Callithrix jacchus: one gene and its partners. The protein of the gene in region 1 binds, or shares a complex with, the protein of each later gene. Links are inferred from orthologs where the notes say so. Each region holds a gene or a part of one and is shown in the gene's direction. Other genes may lie near its edges.

Evidence for each region.
Region 2: MED7 (region 1) and MED16 share a complex: the UniProt entries of both Homo sapiens proteins name them as parts of the mediator complex. The link is inferred for Callithrix jacchus from reciprocal best matches to the Homo sapiens genes MED7 and MED16.
Region 3: MED7 (region 1) and MED20 share a complex: the UniProt entries of both Homo sapiens proteins name them as parts of the mediator complex. The link is inferred for Callithrix jacchus from reciprocal best matches to the Homo sapiens genes MED7 and MED20.

What each region holds. Positions count from the first base shown.
Region 1 is NC_133503.1:19,918,002-19,922,258, reverse strand, and holds the start of MED7 (mediator of RNA polymerase II transcription subunit 7), read left to right. Parts: upstream 1-1,438; 5' UTR 1,439-1,483; intron 1,484-4,257. Other genes in the region: GARIN3 (Golgi-associated RAB2 interactor protein 3), read left to right, coding at 63-1,223. UniProt on the Homo sapiens protein: Component of the Mediator complex, a coactivator involved in the regulated transcription of nearly all RNA polymerase II-dependent genes.
Region 2 is NC_133523.1:820,056-823,701, reverse strand, and holds part of MED16 (mediator of RNA polymerase II transcription subunit 16), read left to right. Parts: intron 1-1,033; coding exon 1,034-1,244; intron 1,245-2,559; coding exon 2,560-2,693; intron 2,694-3,540; coding exon 3,541-3,646. UniProt on the Homo sapiens protein: Component of the Mediator complex, a coactivator involved in the regulated transcription of nearly all RNA polymerase II-dependent genes.
Region 3 is NC_133505.1:50,414,870-50,418,515, reverse strand, and holds part of MED20 (mediator of RNA polymerase II transcription subunit 20), read left to right. Parts: intron 1-2,635; coding exon 2,636-2,889; intron 2,890-3,646. UniProt on the Homo sapiens protein: Component of the Mediator complex, a coactivator involved in the regulated transcription of nearly all RNA polymerase II-dependent genes.

The sequences.
Region 1 (4,257 bases):
CACAGTTCTGAACTCTCTTTCAGTCATCTCTATCTCACCTGTTTCTCCTCCCCTTGGTACAGGCTGCAGAGCTCCACAGAAAAGGGGATCAGAGTGAGACTGGGCTTCACAAGTCTTGTGATGTATCTGCAGTCACCTCTTCTGCTTATGCTGGGGGAGAAGGAATCCAACATGCCTCCCATGGAATGGCTGCTGAAGGAGCAGCAGCAAGGACAGCAGGTGGCATGGCAGGAACAACAGGCCCCAGAGCAGGTGTGGCAATAGCAGGCACAGCAATGAGTCCTGCAACAGGCGCTGTGAGCATAGCAGCAAGCAAACCTGCAGGCCCAGGCCAGGTGACCACAGCGCTGGCGGGAGCAGCCATCAAAAATCCGGGAGAAAATGAATCCAGCAAGTCCATGGCAGGTGCTGCCAACATATCCTCAGATAGTATGAACTTGGCCTTGGTGGGTGTTGCAAGCACCTCCTTGGCAGGTACTTCTTCCACCACGATGGCGGGGGCCGCCCATCTCTCCCAAGACAGCAGCTTGAGTATGGCATTTGCAGGCAGTATGACGACAGGCAAGTGTGTGGCAGAAAGAACTCAAGGACCAGCATTGGGACCCCTCGTGTCCACCTTGCAAAGCGAAGGCTACATGAGTGAACGGAATGGAAGCCAGAAGCTTTCCCAGCCCAGTGCTGAAGCCTGGAATGAAAAAAAGGAAAGAAGAAAAAAGAAGGACAAACGTCCCAGTAGGAAAAGTTCCCATCACCGCAAGGCAGGTGAAAGTCACCGCAGGACAGCAGGAGACGAGACCCAGAAAGCATCCTCCCACCGGTCTATATCCGGCCATAAAAACACGAGAGATGACAAAAAAGAACAAGGGCGCAGCAAGGTAAGGGGCAAGGGACGTGGCTCCTCTCGCAAGAGCTCCAGCCACAGTTCCACCAAAAAGGAGTCGAGAACAACTCACAAACTGGGGAAGAACCGATCCACATCTAGTACAGGAGCTTTAAGTAAGAAACCCAGTAAAATCATGTCTTTTTTAAGGAGCCTCAGGGCTACTGCTGGTTCAAAAACAAGGGTCACATCACACGACAGAGAGGTAGACATCGTGGCTAAGATGGCGGAGAAGCAAAACATAGAGGCCAAAGTGGAGAAAGCCCAGGAGCTGGAGGTGATCAGTGGCACTGTGACATCCAAGATGATGGAGATGACCATCTTTGAAACCAAATCCATTTAAATAGGAGCCAGGGCTACAACTCCCAGGGATCTGGGAAGTATCCCTAGAGAGCCCATCCCAGCTTTCTTTACTGCAGTTTAAATAATAAAGGAAATCATACAACCCCTAAATAAATAAAATCTCCTGTTTGAATTTTTTCTGCCCCATAGCCTGGCAGTGACTTCACAGTGGCTTCTGTGATGGTGACCACATTACAGCCTGAGACCCCAGCCTCCAGGCAGGTAGAGCCCTACCACCCACCCAGGCCCAGCAGAGCCAATGTGAGTGTTTTGCTTTGCCTCAACCCCTTTCTGCCTTTGCTTCCCCTAGACTGTCAAAGTCACAGATTAAGAGCTGGATGCACCACCACCACGTCCCCATGCCCATTCTCTTCCCTGAATGCTCCTGAACATGGACATTCAGTCCAGTCCATAGACTAGGCAGAGACAGGATTCACATCCCCTCAGAGGGTATTCAGGGGAGGAAGGAGCAGTGCAGCAGCATTTGTAGGCAATTAGAATAGGAAATCTATGCATCTAGATCAGGAATTGGCAAACCATATTCTGAGGTCCAAATCTTGCCAGCTGCTTGGATTTGTAAATAAAATTTTACTGGAACATAGCCACAGCCATTCCTTTGCATATTGTCTATGGCTGCTTTCACGCTAAAATGACAGATATGAGTAGTTGCAATGGAGACCATATGGCCTGCAGAGTCTAAAATATTATCTGGGCCTTCACAGAAAATGTGCTGACTCTTGATCTAGTCTTAACAAGTCTTCCTCCTAGGTGTAGACAGTGGAGAAATTCTCACATATGCTTGCCAGTAGACAACTAGGAGAATGTTTATAGTAAAACAAATTGTAATAGCAAAACCCTGGAAATCCTCAAGTGTTCATCAAACAGGAGAATTAATAAGCTATGAAATAAACTACAGTGCATAATCTACAACAGTGTAAATGAATAGCGGCTATTAGAAAGGATACATTTTTTTTGTTTTTTTTTTTTGAGATAGAGTCTCAGTTTGTCACCCAGGCTGAAGTGCAGTGAGGTGATCTTGATTCACAGTAATCTTGGCCACCCAGGGTCCAGCAATTCTAGTGCCTCAGCTTCCAAGTAGCTGGGATTACAGGCATGTGCCACCATGCCCAACTAATTTTGTGTATTTTTAGTAGAGACAGGGTTTTGCCATGTTGACCAGGCTGGTCTCAAATTCCTGACCTCAAGCAGTCCACCCTCCTTGGCCTCCCAAAGTGCTGGGATTACAGGCATGAGCTACTGTGCCCAGCTAGCATGGATAAATCTCACATAATATGGGATACTAAAAGCAAGTCACAAAAATATATATGATATAGTTCAATTTGTAGAACAGTTCAAAAATAAGATTCAACTATGGGATATATATTTGCTTAAAGTATAGAGAAAAACAAGGAAATGATAATCACAAAATTCAGGATATGGATAAAAAAAGGAAAGAAGAGAAAGGGTAAAGGGAGAGATGTCTGATCTGGGAGGCACACACAAACAGCTTCAACAGAATCATGATTATTCCATTTCTTAAACAAGAGGGTGTATTCATGGAGGTTTGTTATTGTGTCTTTATTTTAACATCTCTGAAATCAGGATTGTTTTTAAATCACTTCCAGCAAAGTGTCAATTGTATGTCACTGCCTTAGAAACGCCCTATCCAATTTATTTCACCAATGTTTTCCTTTTTACACCCACACAAGAGAGATTTATGACAAAAAAAATCTAACTCTGAAAGACATCTTTCAATAGGTACGAAACAAAAATTCTAAGTAACATAAAAATATTCAGAATATAGAAACATGGAAAATGTTTAAATGTATTAAGAAATAAAATAGTCCAAAATGCTGTGTACTAACATGATGTAAATTATGTGTTCATGTGGAAGTTAATCCCTAGAAACGGGATTGTAAATTTTAAAAAGTTTTATTGTAAAAAAAATTGTCTTTCCATTAAAAAAAAAAAAACCTGTAAAATGAATCCATGAAAAACATTACAGTATTAACATCAGATAATAAAAATTCAATTTGAGAAAAATGATTCTGGGAGCCATGTGTGTTCATGTAAGTCCAGGAGGGGAGCAACTGCTCAGCCTTTTGAGTCTTTGCTCATTCTCTGCAGCAGTACCTTGGAGGACAGAAGTTGAGTTTCTGGCAAAACTTAGGGACTTTCTCTGAAGACCAAATATGTGTAGTGCAGATGGAGGAGGTGAGAAGCAAGGTATTCTGGGAGGAGTAGTGGCCTGTCAGTATCAGGGGAATCCCTTCTCAGTTGCTCTGGTGGGCGGCTGGAAAATCTCACCTTGTGGCTTTCAATAAAGACCATAGAACCTGAGATTAAGATGTTCTGGGAGTCGACTCTTGAAACAGTGGATACAGTTAGATGGAGAGAGAGAGGCACACACTCAGAAGTCTGAGAGGGCCTTTGGGAAAGCCACACAGGAGTGTGACAGGTTGGCAGGTGGGGTAGAGGAGAGAGATAAAGCGGAACTCCTGTCAAAGCCTTTGGTCTGGAGTTCCAGACTTACAGCTATGCCAGAGTCTGAATTATCCTAGCTACAAATGGCTTAATCTCATAATTGTGTAGACCATGGCTTTATCTTTTGTTTTCCTTCTAGTCTTGTTTTATGCACCCTCCCCCGTCTGAAGGGGAGGGTGCACTCTCTCCATCCTGTACAGCATGAACATAGTTCATCCACCATGCAGGGTGTTAGCTGAGCAGACCTCCAATGTACACAAATGCAACTTAAGTAAAGTAGAGGCGGGGACTTGCCCACCACAGCATGCTCTGCCACGTACTTTGCTGCAATTCCTTTTCTATCTTGATACTTCATCAAGAGAAAGATGCATAAATATGTATTTCAAAGCAACAGGTCTCTTCCTCAGAGGGAGATGTCAACTGGGGCATCAAGTCAATACCCCTATCAGATAAAAGACAATGTTTTTAACAGCAATATTTGTCACCATGGTAGCAATTCTGCCGCTGCAAGTGTAATGAGAGTAGATGGCTGATTACTAACCAATGTTCCA
Region 2 (3,646 bases), on another chromosome or scaffold:
CTGTGGCAGGTGGGGCTGTCCCTGTGGCAGGTGGGGTCCCAGGCAGGTGGGGCTGTCCCTGTGGCAGGTGGGGTCCCCAGGCAGGTGGGGCTGTCCCTGTGGCAGGTGGGGTCCCCAGGCAGGTGGGGCTGTCCCTGTGGCAGGTGGGGTCCCCAGGCAGGTGGGGCTGTCCCTGTGGCAGGTGGGGTCCCCAGGCAGGTGGGGCTGTCCCTGTGGCAGGTGGGGTCCCCAGGCAGGTGGGGCTGTCCCTGTGGCAGGTGGGGTCCCCAGGCAGGTGGGGCTGTCCCTGTGGCAGGTGGGGTTGTCCCTGCAGTAGGTGGGGTCCCCAGGCAGGTGGGGCTGTCCCTGTGGCAGGTGGGGTCCCCAGGCAGGTGGGGCTGTCCCTGTGGCAGGTGGGGTCCCCAGGCAGGTGGGGCTGTCCCTGTGGCAGGTGGGGTTGTCCCTGCAGTAGGTGGGGTCCCCAGGCAGGTGGGGCTGTCCCTGTGGCAGGTGGGGTCCCAGGCAGGTGGGGCTTTCCCTGTGGCAGGTGGGGTCCCAGGCAGGTGTGTTGCCCTTGGGATAGCCAGGGGCTCTGTGGTCAGTGAGAGGCCAGCGGCAGGGAGAGGGGTCCCGTGGAGGGTGGGGGAAGTCCCTGCAGCAGTCATGGAGGTCCCTGTGGCAGATGTGGTAGCTGGTGGGGGGGGTCCCCATGGCAGGCAGGGGCTCCGTGGCAGGTGGAGGGCAGAAGGGGCAAGTAGCCTGCGGCAGGTGAGGCTGTGTGTGGGGTGGGGTGTTTCCAGAGGCCCGTCCAGTAGAGTTGAGCCTGAGAGAAGCACTTGCTTTCCCTCCTTACCTGGGAAGGTTCCTCTTAACACATTAGGCCTCTTTTGCTGTGAGGTTGCTGAGGTGCAGAGGCTAAGCAGCTTGCCCAGCTCACCCAGCACCTGGTGCCAGAGCCTGACTGCCCTTCTCCCCAGCTGGAGCCTTGGCGGGCACCTCTGCCCCAGCCCCTCGGGGTGACACCGGCTTCCTGCTCACACCATCCGCCTTCCAGGTCCTCTCCACCCGGATCCTGGCCATGAAGGCCTCGCTCTGCAAGCTGTCCCCCTGCACGGTGACCCGCGTGTGCGACTACCACACCAAGCTCTTCCTCATCGCCATCAGCTCCACCCTGAAGTCACTGCTGCGCCCCCACTTCCTCAACACGCCCGACAAGAGCCCCGGAGACCGGCTGACCGAGATCTGTGCCAAGATCACCGACGTCGGTGGGTCCCGTCCCGCGCCCCAGCCTCGGGCTCCTTTCACCCTTTACTTACTGTATTATTTAATCTTTTGAGATGGAGTCTCGCTCTGTCGCCCAGGCTGGAGGGCCGTGGCGGGATCTCTGCACACTTCATCCTCCACCTCCTGGGTTCAAGGGATTCTCCTGCTTCAGCCTCCCGAGTAGCTGGGATCACAGGCGTGTGTCACCACGCCCAGCTAGTTTTTGTATTTCTAGTAGAGACAGGGTTTCACCATGTTGGCCAGGCTGGTCTCGAACTCCTGACCTCAAATGATCCCCATGCCTTGGCCTCCTAAAGTGCTGGGATTACAGGCGTGAGCCACCGTGCCCGACCTTTTAGAGACAGGGTCTCACTCTGTCACCCAGGCTGCAGTGTGGTGCCTCTGCCTTCCATGCTGTCTTCTCTCCCCAGCCTCTGGAGTAGCTGGGATTACAGGCGTGCGCCACCATACTCGGTTTTTAATTTTTTGGTTTAACTATTTAGGGTCTCACTGTGTTGTCCAGGCTGGTCTTGACCTACTGAGCTGACGTGATCCTTCCACCTCTCTCCTGGGGGCCAGGCTGCTGCTCCTACGCTGGGACCTGACACCTAGTCCTGTGGGGCAGGTCCGCTCCTCCCCATTTGCCATAAGGGGACTGAGGCCCAGAGAGGCTAAGCAGCTTGCCCAGGCCCGCCCAGCACGTGGCATCCCACTCACCTCAGCCTCCCAAAGTGCTGGGATTGCAGGCGTGAGCCACTGCATCTGACAGGCTGTTTCTTTCAAAATTGGGGTTATCATTTACTGTAAAATTAGAGTATCCAGTTCTCTATAGGCACATGGCACTCCCAGTAGCTGGGAGCGGTGTGCGCATTCGTGGTAGTTTCTGTGGGGCCACCCTAGTCGCCATCCCAGAGGTACCTGCTGGGTGTGTAACCATCGCCAGGTGTGGGGTGGGGGTGGCTACAGCTGCACAGTGTGGACATGTCCTGCGTTCACAGAGCCCACCCCGAGCAGGGGCCAGATGTGCACCAGTGGGCCGGGTCAGAGCAGTGCATCCCTGGCATGGGGACCTGCCCACCCAAGGTCTGCAGGCCGAGAGAAGCTGGTTGGTGCTGAGCACAGCGGCCCCCGGGGTGGGCGGGCAGTGAGCTCCCGGTTCATCTCCATCAGGCCATGCCATCACCCGCGTCTCATTCCCAGTGTGGGCCCCCGCTTGCCCGGCACTGGGTGGGTGCTCAGTGCAGGACTGTGGGGAGCATTTAGGTCACCCCGTGTGTCCCGGAGGCCCGGCCTGACCTGAACCGCATCTCCTTGCAGACATTGACAAGGTCATGATCAACCTCAAGACGGAGGAGTTTGTCCTGGACATGAACACGCTGCAGGCGCTGCAGCAGCTCTTGCAGTGGGTGGGCGACTTCGTGCTCTACCTGCTGGCCAGCCTGCCCAACCAGGTGCGCCTGCCCTCCAAGGCCCCGCCCCTCACTAGGGCCCCGCCTCCCTGGCCCCGCCCATGTCCGTGTTCCACCTCCCCGGCCCCGCCCCTCAGAGGCCCCACCTCCCAAGCCTTGCTTCTCAACACCGCAGCCCCGCCCCTTCCTGGAGCCCCACCTCCTGGCCCTGCCTCTTCTCAAAGCCCCGCTTCCTAGCCCGCAGCTCCTGAAGCCCTGCCCCGCCCTGGAGCCCTGTCTCCTCCTTCCTGCCCATTCTCAAAGTCCCGCCTCCCAGGCCCTGCCCCTTCTCAGCCCCACCCCTACTCGAAGCTCCTGCTCCGCTGCCTCCCCCCCCATTACCCTCCCCAGACCCCTTCACCTGGGGTAGGCGGCTTTGAAGTCAGGAACTCACTGCAGGCCCCAGCAGGCTCGGTCCACTCCCCCACCTCCAGGTCTGCAAGCTGGGCACCATCCTGCCCCTGTCTTTCCACCGTGGCCGTCAGGCACAGTTTGAAGACCCTCTGCTCTTTGTGGGGCTTTAGGCTGCCAGGGGCCACCCCCTGGAGCCTCCCTTCCCTGGTCCTCTGGCCTCCCAGTGCAGCCGCGGTGGTGGGAGGGGGGGCACTTAGCTGTGGGAGGGTCAGCTGCTCCCCCGAATGTGGGTAGGGGTGTTGGCGTCAGCGGGAGCCTCCTCTCGGCCCTGTGGACTTTTGGGTCAGGGACGGGATGACTCTTCAAGTCCTGACCTCCACAAACGTCCCAGACCCTGCCCATCGCCCCCAGGCCGGGGTTCTACGCACCCTGAGATTCATCCCCTCACCATCTGCTCCCCGCTGCCCCTGCCATGCTGGGCGCCTCTTTCCTGCAGGGCTCCCTGCTGCGGCCGGGCCACAGCTTTCTGCGGGACGGCACCTCGCTGGGCATGCTTCGGGAGCTGATGGTGGTCATCCGCATCTGGGGCCTGCTGAAGCCCA
Region 3 (3,646 bases), on another chromosome or scaffold:
CTCAAACTCCTGGGGTCAGGTGATCCTCCCACCTTAGCCTCCTGAGTAGCTGAAACTACAGGCATGTGCCACCATGCCTGGCTGATGTTTTTTAACTTTTGGGTGGGGTCATGGGAGTGTCTTACTATGCTGCCCAAGTTGGTCTCAAACTCCTAGCCATAAGGCATCTTCCTGCCTTAGCTTCTCAAGTAGCTGGTCTCAAACTCCTTAGCTCATGGGATCTCCCAGCATCGGCCTTCCAACGTGCTGAGATGACAGTCTCAAAATCCTAGCCATAAGCCATCCTACTGTCTCAGTTTCTTAAGTAGCTGGTCTCAAACTCCTGAGCTCAAGGGATGTGCCCACGTCGGCCTCCCAAAGTGCTGAGATGAGAGGCATGAGCCACCATGCCTGGCCCTTGTGCTCTTTGAGTGCTGTTTTGTGCAATTTGAACTCTAAAAGCAATGTTTCTCAGAGGGTTAATCACTGACTAACCACATCAAAATCACCTGGAATACATGTTAAGAGTTGCAGATTCCTGGCCCTGTTTACTGATTGACTGCTGCTTAGGCCACATAATCCACATTTAACAAACATCCAGACAATCCTCATGCACTCTGAAGTTTGAGAAAGACAGGTCTCGGGCCCAGAAGTCTTTATTTATTGTTTTAGAGCTTTAAGAGTTTCTAGAAGTTTCTGTTTACCTATACCTAACCATTGGCCTTGGCCTCCTTACTAACATAGCATAAATTAATTGTTCTCTTTAGTGTATTGGGTGGTGGGATGGTCTGTGGATGATGGGGGATGGTGGTTGGGAGGGAGAGAGGATTTTTTTTTTTTCTTTTTAGAGTGAAAGACTCACTTCGTTGCCTGGCTATACAGTGGCATGATCCCAGCTTACTGCAAGCTCTAACTCCTGGGCTCAGGCCATGAGAGAGACTCTTTGGATATGAGTTAGGGAAGTTGTTTCTCTTAGTCTTGGCTCTGCAGTAACTTGATCTTGAACAGTTCCATAGCATAGTGGTTATGATTGGGGAGCCAGAGTCCTGAGTCACGGCTTTGCGACATACTAATTGTGTACCTGTAGGTAACTCCTATAACCTATCTGTGACTGTTTCCACGCCTCTCATGTGCCTGTTTCCCTTAGATCCATTTCTTTCACTTCCCCTGCAAGCTGTATTTTCCAGGCCCTCTACTAGTTGGCTTTGGTTATTGAGAGGTGCCGAAGAAGATTAGAGGACGGAGGTTACAATGAGCCAATATTGCACCACTGCACTCCAGCCTGACGACAGAGTGAGACTGTCTCAAAGAAAAAAAAAGAAGAAAAGAAAAATGTTATTGTCTTTAATACTAGAAGTGCCTTTTTCATTAAACACACACAACCCTTCCCCTTAGTTGACTTTTAAGATATTTCTAAGACAGTAACACTTGCAGACTCATATGGTATGAATAAAATATGTAATTACAGTGAGTAGACATGAGAACAGAATGATGAGATCAGCTTTGGATGGATTTTTTTCTTCAGAGTCAAGAAGTTTTGAACTGGATTTAGAAGGAGGTGACAGGTGGGAACTGTCAGCAAGCAGTCAGGAGATGGGATGTGGCCTGGAGGATCTGTGTAGAGCCTGCTGTGTTCATGAACAGCAGCTTATATAGGGAAGTCACATGCCCTCTGTTCCCCCACCCCCACACCCTTTTCATTCCCACTGTCTTGCCCCCTGCCTAGAATGTCTTCTTTCCTTCCTGTGGCTGAATCCTACCTTCTCTTCATATCCCAGTTCAAATCATGGTAGACAAGACCTATCACAGCTTGGCTCCCGTCTACCTTCCCCTTACTGCTTCCATAGGACCATTTACTAGCTCTCAAAGAGGGAGGAACCCAAGGTGAGGAGGAGTGCACAGAAGAAGGGAGCAGTTGCTTCCTTTGTCTTGCCCAAATGCTGTTACTTTCATTTTACTTATTGAATGTATGATAATATACAAAAGAGTATATGGAAAGTCTTTGTAGACTTGGAATTAGACTTTACATATAGACCATCTGTGAGCCCACCACTCAAGAATTAAACCACCGCCAGGTGCGGTGGCTCAAGCCTGTAATCCCAGCACTTTGGGAGGCCAAGGTGGGTGGATCACGAGGTCAAGAGATCGAGACCATCCTGGTCAACATGGTGAAACTCTGTCTCTACTAAAAATACAAAAATTAGCTGGGCATGGTGGCGCGTACCTGTAATCCCAGCTACTCGGGAGGCTGAGGCAGGAGAATTGCCTGAACACAAAAGGTGGAGGTTGCGGTGAGCCAAGATCGCGCCATTGCACTCCAGCCTGGGTAACAAGAGCAAAACTCCGTCTCAACAAAAAAAAAAAAAAAAAAAAAAAAAAAGAATTAAACCATCATCAAAACTATTAAAGGTCCCTGTGTGCCCCTCACTGTTTTCGGTAGAGCACGGTGGATTTTACCACATGCTGCCTCTCCTGCTATTTCTGTCCTTACCTTTCTAGAAAAGGCTGCAGTGAGAGGATTCCGCTCATGCCCCACCACGACTGCCTAGGTAGTGCCAGATTGCTATCTGGCCTCATTCCGGGGGGATTCATTTGCTTTACTCTGGGGTTTGCCAGTGAAAGTCTTGATGATGAGCAGGATCTCTGTCCCTTGCAGGTCAGACCGGGAAGCTGATGTATGTGATGCACAACTCAGAGTACCCATTGAGCTGTTTTGCCCTCTTTGAGAATGGCCCTTGTCTTATTGCTGACACCAACTTTGATGTGCTTATGGTGAAGCTGAAGGGCTTTTTCCAGAGTGCTAAGGCCAGCAAGATTGAGACCCGGGGCACCCGGTACCAGTACTGTGACTTCCTGGTGAAGGTGGGCACGGTCACAATGGGGCCCAGTGCCCGGGGCATCTCTGTGGAGGTAAGACCTTGGTGAAAATAGGAGCAGGATATGCTAAGGGGGCTGTTTGGTAAAGGGCTCTGAAGATTTTCCAGTCCTTTATTTTGTTTGAGACAGAGTCTTGCTCTTTCACCCAGGCTGGAATGCAGTGGTGCAGTCTTGGCACACTCCAGCCTTGATTTCCAGGGGTCAAGTGATCCTCCCACCTCAGCCTCCTAAGCAGCTGGGACTACACCCACCTAATTAAAAAAATTTTTTTTCAGGCTGGGTGTGGTGGCTCACGCCTGTAATCCCAGCACTTAAGCTGAGGCTGGTGGATCAACTGAGGTCAAGAGTTGGAGACCAACCTGACCAACATGGAAGAACCCGCTCTCTACTAAAAATACAAAAAAAAATTGGCTGGGCGTGGTGGCACGTGCCTGTAGTCCCAGCTACATGGGAGGCTGAGGCAGGAGAATCACTTGAACCTGGGAGGTGGAGGTTGCGGTGAGCTGAGATCGTGCCACTGCACTCCAGCCTGGGCGACAAGAGTGAGACTCCGTGTCAAAAAAAAAAAAGTTTTTTTTAGTAGAAATGAGGACTTACTATGTTGCCCATGCTGGTCTCAAACTCTTGGGCTCAAGTGATCCTCCCACCTCAGCCCCCTAAAGTGCTGGGATTATAGTTGTGAGCCACCACACCTGGCCGTCAGTCCTTCTCAATTTAGACAGATATTTACCTGATCTCTAACTCCAAGGCATCTGTGCTGCTTCTCTGTGAATCGTTTATAATTTCTTTG